2 linked regions of the Oryzias latipes genome follow. The protein of the gene in region 2 interacts with the protein of the main gene of each other region in a pairwise test. Links are inferred from orthologs where the notes say so. Each region holds a gene or a part of one and is shown on either strand. Other genes may lie near its edges. The genes, in order: pleckstrin homology domain-containing family B member 1 and rap1gds1.

The links.
Region 1: the proteins of rap1gds1 (region 2) and pleckstrin homology domain-containing family B member 1 interact in binary tests that used the Homo sapiens proteins (3 or more experiments, as listed by UniProt). The two-hybrid records come from large-scale screens. The link is inferred for Oryzias latipes from reciprocal best matches to the Homo sapiens genes RAP1GDS1 and PLEKHB1.

What each region holds. Positions count from the first base shown.
Region 1 is NC_019872.2:26,516,223-26,524,841, forward strand, and holds the end of pleckstrin homology domain-containing family B member 1, read right to left. Parts: 5' UTR 8,576-8,619; coding exon 8,539-8,575; intron 6,714-8,538; coding exon 6,561-6,713; intron 5,580-6,560; coding exon 5,477-5,579; intron 5,394-5,476; coding exon 5,354-5,393; intron 5,279-5,353; coding exon 5,188-5,278; intron 3,498-5,187; coding exon 3,364-3,497; 3' UTR 2,717-3,363; downstream 1-2,716. Other genes in the region: sc5d (lathosterol oxidase), read left to right, coding at 971-1,426.
Region 2 is NC_019876.2:29,304,160-29,313,292, reverse strand, and holds the start of rap1gds1 (rap1 GTPase-GDP dissociation stimulator 1), read left to right. Parts: upstream 1-3,576; 5' UTR 3,577-3,901; coding exon 3,902-3,905; intron 3,906-9,133. UniProt on the Homo sapiens protein: Acts as a GEF (guanine nucleotide exchange factor) for the Rho family of small GTP-binding proteins (G proteins) that stimulates the dissociation of GDP to enable subsequent binding of GTP.

The sequences.
Region 1 (8,619 bases), on a different chromosome or scaffold from region 2:
TTTTTGCCAAAACAAATGTATTTAAATGTTTTTTTTTTAATAAACCATCAATATTTTTATCTTCAGAAGACAGTGGACCCTTAAATAATCGTCGGAAACGCTCATATTTATGAGATTTTAGCTTTGTAGTCATATGCGCCCTTTAAAAAACAAAAATAGTGAGCATGGTGTCCCAATTGCTTTTAAAACTCGGGGCGCTACATAGTGCCGCACAGACACAAAGCAAACTTTCCAACACTCTTAAATGACCAGAAGTCCACAAATTCCAATTTTAAATAGTGCACTCAAAGAGTCCCAAAAAACTCACTTATTTCTATGAAATGCTTTTTTGGGAAGTTTATTAATTTCATCAAAGTATTTCCTTAAATTCTCACAACATTACTGTTGTTACGTATAAAAGAATTAATGTTGAATATAGAATATGCAAGTATTTCCTACTCTGTTCTCTTGGTTTTGTGGATTTTACCTACAGCTGAAGATATTTCGGTTTTTCTATTAAGAATCACTAAAGTTCATAAAGTTTTACAAATCTAGAATAATTACTTAAATTTGAGAAGGACTCAAATATGTTCAATCTTAAACATAAGAAAAGACATAATTGTTTTTTGCCAATTCTTCCCTTTAAAGTTTCATTTTTATTCAGAACTATTCATCCCTGCATCTTCTTCTGGAAATGCAGCTCCTTCTGGTTAAGAGTTAAAACTCCTGAAGGTTTTACTCAAAACCGATCCCCCTAATGAAAAATAAAGCCTTAATTTTTTTATTCTTCTGATGCTAAATTAACTTTTTCTTTAGGGGTCAAAGACCTAAAAATTGTTTGCAGCCTCTTGATGTCTTAAACGGTCAATTATTGTAGCATTTACATTTTTCAGGTGAACAAAAATCTGTCTTCCTCTGCTTTTCTTTGAGGCTGCTGACGTCTTTTGAATGAACGGATGTGTTGTTTTTTTGTCCACTCGTCTTCCATCAGCTTTTCCACAAACCGCACCACATCTGGAAGATCCCCACCCCTTTCGCCAGCCACGCCTTCCACCCGGTGGACGGCTTCCTGCAGGGGCTGCCCTACCACATCTACCCCTTCCTCTTCCCCCTCCACAAGGTTCTCTACCTGCTCCTTTACGTCTTCGTCAACATCTGGACCATCTCCATCCACGACGGCGACTACCGCGTCCCCGACACCCTCACGAGCGTCATCAACGGCTCCGCCCACCACACCGACCATCACCTCTTCTTCGACTACAACTACGGGCAGTACTTCACGCTGTGGGACCGCCTGGGGGGCTCCTACAGGCACCCGTCGGCGCTGATGGGGAAGGGTCCTCTGGAAGTGGTCCGTAGACTCCAGGCAGAAGGGAAGCTGAGCGGCCGGGGGAAGACGAAAGAGCACGCCAGCGGACATACGCAGAACGGACGCAAAGACGAGTAAAAGGAGGCGGGGCTAGTCAGCGATGAACGCCATTCACAGAGACAATGCGCTACGCTCGTAAAGGCGGGTCTGAGAGTTCATGTTTGCCATGTTTCCTTCTATGAGGGGCGGGGTCAGAGTCGTATAATAGCAGGATGGAAAATGAAAGCTCGGGTAAACGGCAGCACTTTTCATTCCAGCCGTTCGTCTGCCTTCAGCTTTCTTCTGTTCATCCCGAGGGCCTGAATTTGTTCGAGTCATTTCGCTTTGCAGATTTTTCCATGTGCTCGTCTCATCGCAAAGCCAGTTTTTAATTTGCAGGGGGGAAAAATTAACTGACTGACCTCTCTACTGCAGAAAAAACCCCAAATGATAACACTTTCACCACCGTGCTGAAGAGGAGATGTAACACTTGCTTTCTTCTTTAATTTTTTTCTTTTTTTTTGGCCAAACTTTGCACTCTGCCTCCCAGACTGGCTAACAAAGTGAACATTTGATATTTTTTTTTTCCCTAAAGCAAAAAGCTCTAAACTGCAGATAATTAAACATCCAACTATACGCCTCTGGTTCTGCCTGTGGTCCCTAAATGAAACGAAACGTTCTTTAAATGTCTATTCAGACCAGATTCTGCTGACGGTGTCTCGATCGGGAACCGTTCCGTCAGACATGCAGAACCCTCCAGCTTTTGTCTGAAAGTCAGATTTGCCACCACGTATTATTAATGCACTTTTATACGGATCACAACCACAAACGGATCTTACATACCTGTTATAAAATGTTTGCACGTCGCCATTTGTTTTCATTTTTCACCAATAAAATCAAAGCATCATAGGAGGACGACTCAACATTGAGTTGGAAGCTGCTTTTTGGGTTAAATAATGATCATAGGAAATGTACAATCTGTGTTCAAACTTTGTAAAATTCTAAATAAACGTCTAAAATTTCCAACTTTCTTTGAGGAGATGAAAATAATCCAGAAGTTCAGCTGTTCAACGCAGCGATTTGATGTTAAATTCAACGAGACGAAGCAGCTTAATGTGTGTGGAAGCAGATCTTCATCTGCAGACGTGTTTTTAGCGCCTGGAGTAAAGACGGATGAACGTCGAGCCACGCAGAAGCGGCTTCACCCCGTGTGGTTCGGACCAGAGATTCTTCCAGCAGAGACCAGCTGGCTCCGTGAATCCTAAGAGGATCTGACAAACGTTCAGAGTCCGGAGGGTTTCGACACATTTAGTTTTGCTTTGTTCTGTACTTAAAGCTCTGAACATTTTGTTTGTGGCTTTTTAAGCTTAAAATCACAAAGGCTGTTTGAAAAAGATCGTATTTTATGCCGTTGAAGATGCAGGATTGCAGTTCTGCGCCGTTCTAAAATCCAGAATGAAGCATTTTCTAAACAAAGTGTTGCTCTGTGTTCATCCTCTGCATGTGGAGTTTTCCGTTGTCATGGTGATGGAGTCGCTCCAGCTTCGCTGTTTGACCCTGAAAATAATTCTACAAAACGACCTCATGTGAAGGTAGAGCTTGTGTTTTTTCTTCTGGAGTGCTCCGTGTTAAATTCGTGCGGCACCATTCATTCGCAGGTTTTCATGCCGAAGGTCGCGTCACACCAGAGGCTCCAGCCAATCAGCTGAAAGGATGCAGCCGCCTTTGGATTGTGTCCAAGCAGAATAAGACTTTTGTTTTTTTTTCATGGAGGAAGCAAAGTTATGCTTTATTTCAGCAACTTCTAGTGTACTGATTAACAAAAATGCAAACTACACTGATTCTTCAGCTCATAATGTGCAAAATGTCACTGAAAAATTCAGGCTTTACAAGTGATGATGTCAGATATGTACAAGCAGAAAGAGGCCGCAAACAGCTGCTTTGGATTTAGAGGTAATCGGGATCCTCCAAGTGAGTCTGCGATGTCAGGTGACGTGAACGAGGTCTACAGGTTTGGCGTGGGGGGGCCGAACCTCTCAGCAGAAGAAGAGGGGCATCCAGAGGAAGGATCGCATGGCGGCCCCTGCTGCCACGCCCGCTAGCAGACCCAGGGCCACGCTCTCCACAACTCCATCAAATGGATCCCTCTGAACCACCACCTGGTGAGTTCCTTGATTTAAAAAGAAAAGCAGGACTGAATGTGGCTCTTCAATTTATTCTAACCAACAAACGTCTGGCACTTTGATGACAAAAGTGAGGAATTTTACACTTATTTTTAGCCCTTCACCGTCCTGCTCCAGATTTGTTTATTTTTCTATTTAAATTATTCTTTCTTACTCCATGTTTGAACAAAAATGTCACTCAAAAACTATTCAAAGTTAACCTAGTACTTGATAAAAAGGAATTACGGCATAGTGACATCACAGCGGGAGGTAATCTATGGAGCTCCTAAAGGGACGTTTTTATTAATTTACTTGTTTGTTCTTTTTAATGTCCATGTCCCTTTAGGGGCTCCATAAATTCTTACAAGGCTCAAAAAATTTTATCAAAATTCTACAAACGAAACCAAAACACATGTGTCGGGAATATTCAAAGGAAGTTTTGAAATTATTATGGGATGGCCACAGGACCTTTAGTGGTAAGATGTGAAATTTGGCAACTTTTCACTTTTTTTTTTTTTTTGCACAAAAAATAGGTAATGAAGTATAAGTTTCTTTCCCCGTTTGTTTTCCTAGTAGTGTTGCATGTTATACCTTTTTTCTTTTTCTGATTTTGGTAATTGACAACACCGGAATGAAAGGTTAGAAAACCACCCGCTCATTTGCACTGGAGAAGGAGAGCCTTGGCTGTTTATTTCTGTTCACCACTATTTTTTTTATTTTTTTACTTACACCACTGCTTTCTTTGCTTTCTCTACCCATTTTTCCCAATTCACACAAAGTCAACTTATTATTTCCTCCCTCTGATTTATTTCTGTAAATGTAAATAAACACGTAAAAATAACGGAATGGACTGTGGCGTATTTTATAAGCGCGTCAGACATTAAACCGAACCCATCAGATCCTAAGGAGGCTTCAATCGATCACCTCTTTACTCCTTAAGCATCAGTAAGAGGCTAGGTTGGGGGAAGGGGGGGGTACAATTATAGGCGATATGAATTCTTGGTTCAAGTTGAACAAAAAATTACAATATGAACATATTAGGACTGTGGGTGTGGTTAAAAAAAAAATGTACTTTTACTTATTCTTCTAAAAATTACATAAAAGTGTTCGTCACCCCGAGGCAAACAAAACATTACATGGCTGCTATCGAGATATTACCATCAAAAGAGAAGCCCTTCTGAAGAAAAGTGCATTTTTCATGATAAATGACCAGGAGAGAGTGCAGCAGCGGCTCATCCAGTGCAGGAGGGGGGCTCTTTTGGGCCATACAAAGCCGCTTGCAGCTTTTTTTTTTTTTTTTTAAAACCTTCAACGACGCAAAATCTGTACACCATAAATGGAGGACATTAGGTAAACACCGAATCAGAACTTTATCTGAATTTTGAGACTTTAATACAGAGTTGGTGAACACCTGGGTTCATCAGAAAGCTGCTTCCCCCATTTTTTTTTTTTTTTTTTTTGGCTCCATCAGCTTGGGGATGGTTCTGAGACACTTGTTGATGTTCAACCCTAACCTGAAGACCCCGGAGACTCGTTTCCTTCTTTTGCGTAACCCTACCATCGCTGTAGAAATGTTTGCACATTGCTGCTCGTCACCAGTGATGCTTTTCTTTGACTTCTGTGTTTCAAACGTCTGCATGGCCTCCATGAAGTATTTCTCCATTGCCTGTGTACTATTCTGCATGGAGGGCGGCGTACCTGGACCTGCTCCTGGAGTTATGTAGACGGTGTGGTAGCTGTTGAGAGGAACGGCCTGGTAGGAGTCGTCATACGGGTCGTACTGGAACACCTGAAACAAAGTGCTCCTGTTAGCACTGGGAGGATCACACTCCTGCTTCTGAGAAAACATGAACGGAGGCCTCACCGGGTTTCTCCTGGTGTCCAGCATCGTCAGTTTCCACGCTCTGAAAGAGAAACGTAGAGGTGTTAGGGATGGACGGATGAACGGCCAAGAGGAAGGGCAGAGCCGGCGGGGTGAGGCGCCTACAGAGACTCGTCTTCACTGTTGGCACACAGGTTGAGCGTTGAACCGTCTCTGAAGTGAAGCACCATCAGATTCTCCCTGGGACTGCTCTCTGGTGGATTCACCCCTACGGACAGAAAAAAAATACAGACCTTGTTCAGGTACCTGCTCCATGTTCAGAGTTCTACAGAGATCCGTTTGGTTGCTTTTCTGCAGAGCAGCAGCAGTCAAAGTTACCTGTCAGAACATTTATAGGGAGGTTTTGACATTTCAGATTCAGCTTTTGTTGCTTTTTTTCCCCAACTTGTTGTACAGAAATTGTGCTCTTCTTTTCTTTAATCCCAAGTTTAGATAATTTAAATCCGACAGTTGAAGTCCCACTCTGATCATCTTTTGACTTATTTTAAATCTGTTTCCACTGGTCTTTTAATTGTGATTGTGCTGTTTTCAGCTAAAAAAATTTGCTTTTCAAGAACAGAGCAGCAGGAGTTCATTTGCAATTTGCCTTTGACTTGTAGGCGGGACCATTGGTGCAGGGTAATGCCCGCCCCCCATTCCCCTCCCAGTTCCTGAGAGCTTGGAGCAGGGAGTTTGTGGCCCGCTCAGCATATAGCTACATCACATTTTTTTTCTTTTACACTGCATTTTTTTTCCATCGGCTCCTGATTCACAACTATTTGAATTTTTTTTAAAAATGCAGTTTTTGAGGTCGGTTTTCTTTGTATGTATCTGCCACCATTAGAAAAATATCCCAAGAACGTGGTAAAAATACCCAAAGCACAATTTTTTGGCCTTGGAATTGGCCTTTATTGCGATCAATTCTTGTAAGATAGGTGAGTTAGGGTGCGAAACGATAGAAAAACGTTCGTCTGGATGAGACCCCCTTTAAGTCATGGTATTATTCAAAAATAAAGTGGCCTCTTGATTAAATACAATCAAAAACTGCTCAAATGTTCTCACAATTACCCCATAACAAATGAAAAACTGGAGTAGTTTTCATTTCCAGGCCTGGTGAAAGCAGAGCTCATGTCAGGTTTATTGCACAGAACGGCACTAAATCATTCATGCCAGGCTGTAAGTGCCTGACAGTCCAGTCCCCATGCCTTACCTCCACACTCCAGGCCAGACCGGACGTCGATACATTTCATCTTGAGGCTGACGCGCAGCTCCAGATCCCGCCTGCTGTCAGTCTTGTAGAAGCACAGACTCCCATCGATCCAGAGGTCACACCAGTTGAGCTTCCAGCGTTTCAGCACCGCAGCTACAGAGCAGATGCAGCGCAACGTCAGGGGCTGTAGGAGCTGGAAACTGGGAGGGTAGGATCTCTCTTTCGTGCATCTGTAGTGTTTTTGCTTTCACAGGCTTGCATTAGAAGCCTCCAGTACTTTCTTCAGCTCACAGTTTCTTGTGACAGACTTTCTCTTGAATGTTTCTCCAACAGTTCCTTCACACTGATGATCCTTTTGTAAGCCACTTACACACATGGGCCAGGACAAATAAAAGGATTATAAAGGCTAAGGTTTCATAACAGGAACGCCTTTTATTTTCCAAAATATATGCTCTTTTGAGTCAAATTTCAAAAAAAAATTTTTTATAGCATTACTGATAGTCATGAAGGTCAGATGGACAAATCTTTAAAGGTGACCTACATTTGTTAGAATATTAGGCTGCGAGTTACCAAAATACAGCCGCCTTTTTGTTTTTTTTAAGACAAAAAGTTAGGTAACATCTGTTTTTATATACTTAAAATATATACTTCTTAAATAAATTTGAGTTATAACCCATAATTGACTGTTTTTTTAAATATCTTCTATAACAAAGTTTAAGTCTGTATTAGGATTTCAGATCTATGAACCATTTTGGTTTAACTTGTTTTTGCCCCCAAAAAAAAATCTGACATATTTGATTTTTTTCTTCCTAATTTTTCTTTATATTGAGATGAAGTTCAGCCAACTGAGAGGCTGTGTGCTCTCTGCTGCCCTCTAGTGGCTGTTTTGTCATCAGGACAAGCTCATCTGTGTCCTACTGAACTGCTGAGATGGACTCAGACTTACAAAAAAACACACAAGGCTCAGTGATGAAATGTGTTTTACAAGTGAAAAATCCAGATGCTTTGGTTTTACGTTTAAAAAAACATTCATTTATTTCGAACATGCAAGTGACAAAGGAGATTAATTTAGATCCTTCCAATGACCTTTTTTAACAAAGCACTTTAGGGATGTTGATGTTTGGGGCCTTAAACCTTAGTTAATTCAATTCAATTATTTATATAGCCCAAATTCACAACAGTCGTCTCAGTGGATTTTGTACCAGTAATTGTAAACTAAACATAAAATCAAAAAGGTTCATAAATGCATAGAATTTAATAGGATAATACCACAACTTTAATTAAACAAACTAAACTAAACTGACATCCCTGCCCTTAGAACCCCCCCCCCCCCCTTCACGGTAATGAAAAACTTTATTTTTTAGGGATTAAACTATTTAGAAACTGATTTAAGTTTAGTACCTTTGCTTTTCTTTTCTTTTTGTTTCCTTTACCATTAGAATAACTTTGCAGGTTTTACAAATTCCTTCAATGTTGTTTTTGAAATATTTCATGTTAGGAACTTTATGATAAATCATATCATCCCCATTAATATTTGTATAATGTAATTATACTATATATAGTTTTTAAGTAAAAAAATGATTTTTACTTTTTTCTTCTTTAGGTTTAAAATAATTTAAAAATGAATATCGTTTATAGAGATCTGGAAACGGATTCTTTGGTTTGCCAGACGTGGCACAAAGTTGACATTTAACATGGGGGAGGAAAAAGAATAATACGTGGAGGAAGTGTTGACCCTTGTGCTATCTTAGATGACCCCACCCTTACTTTGACGTGTTCTCCCTACCATGACAAAGGTGGATAAAGGTGGAAAGATTTCATGTAATCCATGGACACCAGTGAAGATCACAAATCATTGAAGAAAAAAGGTTCAGAGCACTGTCTAGTGGGTCTAGATGACCCAACTCCCAATGTTTAAGTGCCTAGGATAGCACAAGGGTTAAAATGTAAATGTCTGGGTTTAAATCTTTTCACTCACTCTGTCTCCAGAGCCACCCTGACTTCAGGAGTGCCATGTTCCTCAGCTGCTGTCCGTCCTGTTGCTTCTGTTTGCCCCCTT
Region 2 (9,133 bases):
GCACAGAGAATTTGGCAAGTTTTCAAAATAAAACATCTTTCAGATTCCGACATAAATGAAACGGAAGTAATGCAAGTTATTTATTCTCTCAGTGCTGCCTGGTACCAAATGACCCACGGACCGGTAACGGTTCGCGGCCCAGGGGTTGAGGACCGCTGCACTAAATGATCAACTACTGCTGGGTCTGCTATGGCAGGTAGGTGGAAGGTGGAATCCAAATGCGCACACAGCTTTCCGGGTAACAAGTTTTATTTTAAACAGAGGGAGGATGGCGAGCTGGCAGATTTGCAGGCAGGCAGACAGACAGGAAGGCAGGCAGGAGGGCTGACAGGTGTGCAGGCAGGCAGTCAGGCAGATAGACAGACAGATTAGCTGGGAGCTGGATCTTGGGAGGGAGAAACAGGAGGATCAAGGCAATGTTCCACCAAGTCTGTCTACTCCCCGAAGATGGACCATTGTTGAGATGAGAAGAATCACCTGATATTTACCAATGGTGTGTACCACCATTTGGTACAACCTGCTGTAAGGATTCAGTGGTTTGGTTTTCTTTGTCATGTTTTTGGTTTCCTTGTCAGTCACACCTTCAGGTTCATGATCCACAGCTGTCTTCAGTTCAGTTAATTGCCCTCAGCCTATTTAAGTGTCTTGGTTTCTGTTCTTCCTTGTCAGGTCATCTGCTCTGTTTTGTCACAGTTTTGTTTCCCCTCATAGTTTGGTCATGTTTCAGTTTGCTAATTAAATGTTTTAGTTCCAGTCATCAAGCTTGGTCTCCTGCATTTGGGTCCTCCACCACCAGTTCGTGACAGAATGACCTGACCAGCTTGGACCCAGCAGGGGAGTTTTCCATCATGCCCATTCCGTGCCTTGCCAGATGAGTTCCTGCAGCATTGTTCATGCTATGCCCTTCCACATCAAGCCTATCTGTTCCTGAGGGGGATTGCCGGGACCATCTTTCAAGCATCAAGTTTCCTGTGGAGGGTCACCGGGGCCGCTCCTCTTCATGTCTGTTCCTGAGGAGGGTCGCCGGGCCCACACTTCATGTCCCCTGTCCCGGAGGATGGTCACCATTCCCCCTTGGCTGTGTCACCTGGTCCAGAAGAGGGTCACCAGTGCTGCTCCCCTTAATGGTTCCTGTCCCTGGAGAGAGCAATTGGGACTTCTAATCTTCATGCCTGTTCACAGAAGGGGTTCTGATGCCCCTCACTTCCGTCTGGCTGCAGGAACCCAAACCGTTCTGGACTTGTTTTTTCATTTTCTGTTCCTCCAGGTCCCCTCCTCCTAGGGGTTTTTGGGCATCTGGGATCTGCCCTTTTCGGGAGGGGTACTGTAAGGATTCAGTGGTTTGGTTTTCTTTGTCATGTTTTTGGTTTCCTTGTCAGTCACACCTTCAGGTTCATGATCCACAGCTGTCTTCAGTTCAGTTAATTGCCCTCAGCCTATTTAAGTGTCTTGGTTTCTGTTCTTCCTTGTCAGGTCATCTGCTCTGTTTTGTCACAGTTTTGTTTCCCCTCATAGTTTTGTCATGTTTCAGTTTGCTAATTAAATGTTTTAGTTCCAGTCATCAAGCTTGGTCTCCTGCATTTGGGTCCTCCACCACCAGTTTGTGACACCTGCAGTCCATGCTGTGTGATCTTTGCCCTCCAGAAAGACTGGAGAGATCAACTAAAGATGGCATAGACATCCTTCCATCCATTGAGAAGTCATTCTATGTGGATAACGCCTACAAAGTCTCTCTATGGCTGAGTCGGCTGAGAAGCTTGTAGAGGAGATGAGGAAGTGTCTAGCTTCAGGAGGGGTTGAGATCAGGCAGTGGGCAAGTGACATCAGAGCTGTTGTGTTTTTTATCTGCCCTCTTCAGCTCGATCGGAAAACACTGAACTGTGGTTGTCTGAAGAACCCACAGACCCTTAATAACCTGTGTCAATGGCACTGCCCCACAGACCACCTCTGCTACCGCACCAGGCCAAGCAAAGATGAGACTCCAACACTCCATTACATATACAAAGCAGCAGCAGCAGCAGAGAAACACCAGCAGCAGCGTTGGTAAAGTCCACCTCTTTTACTCTGAATGTGATTTTTTTTTTTTGATGTGTAACTCTGGATGGTGTAATGTGTAATCTGGTCTAATGTAATCTTTCAAAATAGTTTCTTTCCGACTGCCCTAAAATGTTAAACATGCATCTTGTTGTATAAATTGTGTTAGTTTTGGGAGCTTTCTTTATATTAATTATTTTTTTTATTATTATTACTAATTCTCTGTTAAACAATTTTAACACATATTGAAGCACTTATGTAGTTTTATGCATTATTTATCATTTCAGTAAGTTCTTTTAACCTTTTTGTGTTAAATGGATGAATGTAGGACCGACCAGACAGTGACAATAAAGATCTATCTGTCCGTCCGTCCGTCTGTCCGTCCGTCCGTCCGTCCTGTTAACTGACTCATTTTACCCATAAAATAAAGAGAATGAACTGCATTTGTTTTATTTACAGGATGACCCACCTATTGAACTGAAGTATCAATATTCAGCTAATACTTAATTATGGTGGTATAATAATTATTAATTATTATTTTATTATTATTTACCAAGGCTGTGTCCCACCAAGGTGGGGTAGCCTAGACAAGGCACACAATTTTAGCTCCCTCTGTCTCTTCCCCAAACCCTCCTCCTTCAGTGCGTGTGTGCGTATGTGCACATAATTATTAATAATAATATTAATAGTATCCACTGATCAGTGTTCTAATTTATTAAACTCCTTCCATGCTTACAGCACAAGGTGCTTGACATAAAATATAAACATGGGTTAAAACAAAAAAGAAATAAAACACCATAAACTACAAACAAAAATCAAAAGATGAATAGTTCTTGTTTGAGAAAGCTCTGTAAATGTTATTTATGATAATTATTATTATTAGGCCTAAAATAATTACTTTTTTAAATCATATTTACATCTGTTGTATATTTTTAATCCTGACTTTTTTTATTGCTCTTTTTTGATAATGTTTTCTATCATTTTTAGTTTTTGTACTCCTGGAACTGCATCTTTTATTGTATTGCATATGTGAGTTTTTTTTAATGATCGGATTTTAAGTCTGTAATAAATCCAATGTGTATATTTATCTAATAGAAGTCTCTCTCTGGCATCCTTCTGCCTCTAGAGACAATGGAGTCTGCACCTGAATTCTAGTTTGTTGTCGGACAGCGATATCTATATAAACTACTGTATGCGCTCACAAGTGTAATGAATAGATATGTTTCCAACTGTGCATAAATATTGGAGTTTATGCATGGACACACACTCAAGAGGCTGTTTTGTGACGCTTATATTGTATTGTTTGCCGAGTGTTTTGGTTATTTTATGCAATACGTTTTCTTGAAATGATTTATAAAGGAACTGACTGTGGAGATGGTTATAAATTGATATTTGTAAGTAAATCTTTTTATCTCTCTGGTATTTTGTGATGACACCAGATTAAAAAATTCTCTCTAACTCCCCCTGCTGGTGATCTGTGACTACTACAAACTTTACCTTTTTTTTTTATTTGCTGCTTTATTTTGAAGGTTGGGCCGGAAGTGATCTCCGGTTGACTGCAGCCGTCAGTCGGAGCCAGTTGTAGCGGAGCCGCTAGCCCGTCCGCCGTTACCGTGGATATGAGAGGAGGTGGGACGCGTTAGCAGCCGCTGGTGTACAGGCCGCGGCGGAGTAGCGTTTGTTTCAGCCGGACTCCACCGTCCGTGACGCCCGCCGGCGCTCCGAGCTAGCTGTCGTGCTAACCTGTTAGCTTCCACGCGCCAGCCTGACCAGCAGAGCGGGAGCCGAACGGCGCGGACTCCTGCGGGTTCGACTCTCGGTTTACGGAACCACCCTCGTCCCCCCGACGAGGGTTCATTCCGCGGAGATGGGTAAGTTGGACGGCTAGCTGGGATGCCGGAGACGGTTAGCTTGAAGAAAAAAACCTAAACGATGGTGGTCAGAAACGAGCCCTGGAGGGCTCAGCGGGCTGGGGGGGGCATGTCGGGGGCTCAGCGGCGGCGGCTGGGCGGGGTGCCTCCCTGCCGCCCGTCCGCGCCTCCTGCAGCATGTTTTCCGGGGACACGGCGGCTGAACTGAAGGCGGCCCGTCCCCGCAGCTGTTATGTAATGTCAGCGGCCTGCAACGCGCAGCTGCTCCCGCTGCAACACTGCGGACGCCCCCCGCTTACTGATGCGGCTCCTCCGCTGTGCATCCTCCGACACGCTGCAGCCCCCCCGCGACAGACGGGCAGTTTATATAAGACCGTCTGTGAGGAAGAGACTGAGGAGGAGGAGGATGGTTTGTTGGCAGCAATAATCGGGTCACTGCAACACTTTGTGGATCCTTATGCAATAATTGCAGGGAGGCTCAGGATTTAGCAGCACACCTGCCATGATGAAGATGATGATATAAACATACACCTGCCATGATGATGATTACGATGATGAAGATGAGGCTCTGAAATAAACATACACCTGACATGATGATGATGATGATGAAGACGAGGCTCTGATATAAACATACACCTGCCATGATGAAGATGATGATGATGATATAAACATATACCTCAGGGCTCCAGACTAACTTTTTCACTAGGAGCACTGTGGCCCCTAACTGAAAATTTTAGGGGCACAACCAGAAAATTTAGGGGCGCATACCGTAAATCAACATTCTAACCAAATCTACAAATTTCCACTGTATTACTAATAAATACTTTAATAATAGATGCAGAAATTACAATGTGCTGTTTCTAATTCAGTGTCACATTTTATTCTTCACTTTTGAAGATGCAACAAGAAGGTAAACTGACATCACCATCGCTGTCATGACAGTACAAATAAGTTAAGAAAACGGATGGATATTTATCTTTGTGACACCAAATAGGTGCAGCCAAGCGGCACAGTAAGTGTGTTTGAGGTCACCCAGGTGAACTCAACGCTGTGCAGATCACCTGGTGTGTGACATATATTTTTGTTTTTGCTCCAACATCACCTGTCAATCATCACAAAAATATCAGGAGAAAGGGGTGGGAGCAAGGGGCAAACCTACCCGGACACAGCTGGAAACTGAACTGACTGAAAGCTGCCCTACAGACTACAAAACAATGCATTATGGGACATGTGTCCTGATGGTTTTTGTAGTGGAGTGATTAATTAAAATAATTTAAAATACCAATTCATTAAAAAGGCTACATACATCACAAAACATTAAAATAATCATAAAATATATAATAACACAGATCATACTAAGGGGGAGAAGAATATTAAAACTAAATTGAATGTTAAGGACAACTCCAACTTCCTGTTCTCCTTCAGTCTTGCTGCAGATTCGCTTTCATCTCACAGCCCCCCCGCCCCCCAAACGATCCAGGTGAGGTGTCGGTTCAACTCAAACACGTCTATCGTTGCATTTTCCCCACGTATTTTCAGTGTGTCTAAAACTAATGTTGTTTTTGCTGGAGCGTGTTTAAAGTTCAAGCCCCGTTAGCTGTCACGCATGTAGGTGTGGGACATTTATTCTCCTCAGCTGACCCGACTCCCGCGGGACGGGAGCGGTGTGCTGCCGTAACGGCCGTGCATAACCGTTTGATGCGCCGCCGTAACCGTAACCGAAACACTAAACCTTCCTCCAGGTCTGTGCGGCCCAGAGAAAAGTTCAGCACTGACTGCATGTATTTAGAAAATTACAAGCGAATAAATACGTTCTAAAGGAAAGTAAGGAACTCCTTAATGTGGTCCGGGGAGGGAGGGGGCTGTCAGGTTTCCTGCTTTCAAGCCCGGTCATTGCCACGCCCCCAAGAGTCATATACCCCACTGTGATTGGTTGCTTTGTCAGCTCCGCGCACGACAATGAAAAAGTGTCATTCATACAAACTGGCGGGCTGCAGTAACATTAAACCTTCATGTTAAGTATCATCAAAATAGATCAATCAAAATATCATCTTGGGGGCCGCAAATAGCCTGCGGGCCGCGAGTTTGAGACCCCTGCTGTACACTCTGGCACTGGTACACTAGCCGCAGGTCGGAAGAACGAATCAATAGTTCGCTTGCTCATAGTTCAGACGCACATATCAGGTTGTGATATTTGTCTCCGTTTCCTTCCCACAGATGTTTACGAGCACTCTATCTCTAGGCCCCTCCCCCTCCACGCATTTTAGCCACTCACAGTGGCTTTCCCTATTCTTCTCACACGCAGTGGCCGCCTCACAGATGGGCATCACTCGAGAGTGTACGTGCTCGCGTTTCATGAGTATGTGCACGAGTGTGTGTGTCTGCCTGCGTGCGTGTGGGCTTGCGTCTCATTGATTATTTCATCGATCATTGACGTGCCCCTTCCACGTTTAATGTATAAAAAAATACGGAGGGTGGGGGAGGCAAATTTACTGGTCGCACATGTGCGACTGGATGTAAAATTCAGTCGCACACTCTCAAATTTTGGTCGCAAAATGCGACCAATTGCTCGCAGTCTGGAGCCCTGCACCTGCCATGATGACGATTACGATGATGAAGATGAGGCTGTGATATAAATATATACCTGCCATGATGAAGATGAGCCTCTGACATTAACCTACATCTGACTGCATCTACAGCGACGCTTCCCGCAGTAGGAAACGTTTCCGAGGGAGATCATGCGTGTGTTTTTCTAGGGTCGTATATTTCTCTCCGTCACATGACTCTGTCCTCATCTTCATACAGGCTCCACCAACCAAAGATTGAATAACTTTATGGTGGAAACGTTACATTCTTCTACCTAAAGAGATGCAATCTAGAGATTTATAATTTATTTGGGACTATAAGTAAAAATGTCTTTTAACAGATAAACTCTTTGTAATCTTTATTTTAATCAACAAAACAGCTTCAAACATTCAAACCTGATTTTTTGGGTCTTTTAGACCGTTTTGCTCTTTGTGTTAAAATAAAGTGTATTTCTTCACGTGTTGTTGGTCAGTGCTGTGAAAACATGTTTTTAATGTTTCCTGAACACACAACCCTCCCTGTGGTTCACCTTCAGCCAATTGGAATTGACCCGACTTGGTAAAAGGAAGCCTGTGATTGGATGTCTTTGTGTTTACATCACACGTCCATAAAAAGACGGATAGCGTTTACCAGAAACTGATCATTTATTTCCTTCTTACCAACACAACCTTCTGCATATCTTTGGTTTCAACCTAGGGCTGCACGATATAAGGAAAACTTGTGACATTAGTGATCAATATTGCAATGACAATATAACTTACGGTACAGGAACAAATAGTAAAACAATCAAAAACATAATTTCCCTTTCATTTTAAAAATCATACTCAAATGACCATTGTCTACATAGTAGGTGAACATCTAACACAATAGGGCTCCATCCGATTGGTCAACACGTGAAGGTGTCCATCCCATTGGTCAAATGCATATAGGATATATTTGATTGGTTAAATACTTGAAGCTGCCATAAGATTGTTTTAGCCCGTTTAAGGGAACCATTTATTTCAATTTTCGCCGTCTTTTGCGACATGCATATTGCACAGCTTGATATCGCGATAATGATAAATTTGCGATTTATTGTGCCGGCCTATTTCAACCGATTCCACTGTTACTGTCAGAACTGGCCGCCGTGGTGCTGAGGTAAGGTGGTCGACCTCTGATCGATACATGGTAGTTTTGGTTCCCGCCTTGCCCACCCATGGGATGAAGTGTCGGTTGGTAGGACGCTGAACCCCACATTGCTCCTGGTGGTTATAGGTCGGTGCCAGTGTTGGTCAACCAAGGTACTAAAGTGCTATAAAAGGATCTGCCTTTGACCATACCTAGATCCATTTTCCTATGCGTGTCTGTGTCCTTTACATCTCCAATTTTTTCTTAGTCTCTTAACAAAGAGTGGACTAAGTGTTCCAACAATCCACATATTTCAGCTGAACCTGTCACCCATTTTTATTTATTTATTTATTTGGAGCCCCATTAGCTTCCACAAAGTGGTCGCTAGTCTTCCTGGGGTCCATACGCAAAAAATACATACATTTTACCAATTTCAAAAAAAACAAAACTGATTTCACAAAATACAGTGACTAATTCATCATATTTACCTTAAAATCTTCACATGTTAAAATAAGTTAAAACAATTTCATTTTTATACCAGCATATCAAAATACATAGCAACATATCGACATCAACAATAATACATTTCATAACAGCAAATCATTCAAATTCAAATGCTAGCCTTAGACCGCTTTATGATAGAGGAAACAGGCAAAGTCTGACACTGACACATTATACAAAACTAAAAATGACGGTCATTGGTCCCAAAGCTCATGGTAGACAAACATCCCAACAAGCACACATGGAAGTCTCATGTGTTGTTGAATGTTGTAGTCCGTTCTTGGAGCTTGGAAGTTACCCAGAGTCCATCATCCACTGTCTCTCTCCAGTTTGAATAATTGATGTAAAATCTCAGATTCAATTAAGAATCTCCACCTCCAATGATAGTTTCTGTAGAAGTGCATTACAGCTTCCAGTAATTACTGAGAAACAAATGACTTTCGATTAGATCAAAGCTACCTTAAGGAGAGGAAAGGGATCCGCTTTAGTTCTAGAACAAAGACGATGAGCCACAGTTTTGCTGCTAAATGTATTTGGGTAAGCGGGAAAGGCTGGTCCCTGCAGCCATCACTTCCTGTTCATGGTCATGGAGAGGCTGGAAACCACCCAGCTACAGCCCATCACAGACACACAACCAAACCCACAGACACACAACCAAACCCACAGACACACAACCAAACACAGACACACAACCACACACACATGTACAAACGCCAGTCAAGCGTGTTTTTGGACTCTGGGAGGAAGCTGGAGAAAACCCACACATGAACGTGAAGAACACGCAAATTCCAGAGGCTAGAGCGCTAACCACCACACCGAGTCAAGCAAGGAACCAAGGATTCTCCATGTATTTCAATGGAGGGAGAAATCCTGGAATATCTTGAAAAGTTCAAAGGATTTGAAGGACCAAAAGTCATAGCTGGAAAAAGCTGAAAGAGCTGAACATTTGAATAGTTGGATGTTTAGAATAGATGAAACATTGCAGGAGGAGTTAAGCAGCAAAAAATGGAGGAAGATACTAGAATAAAGAAAGA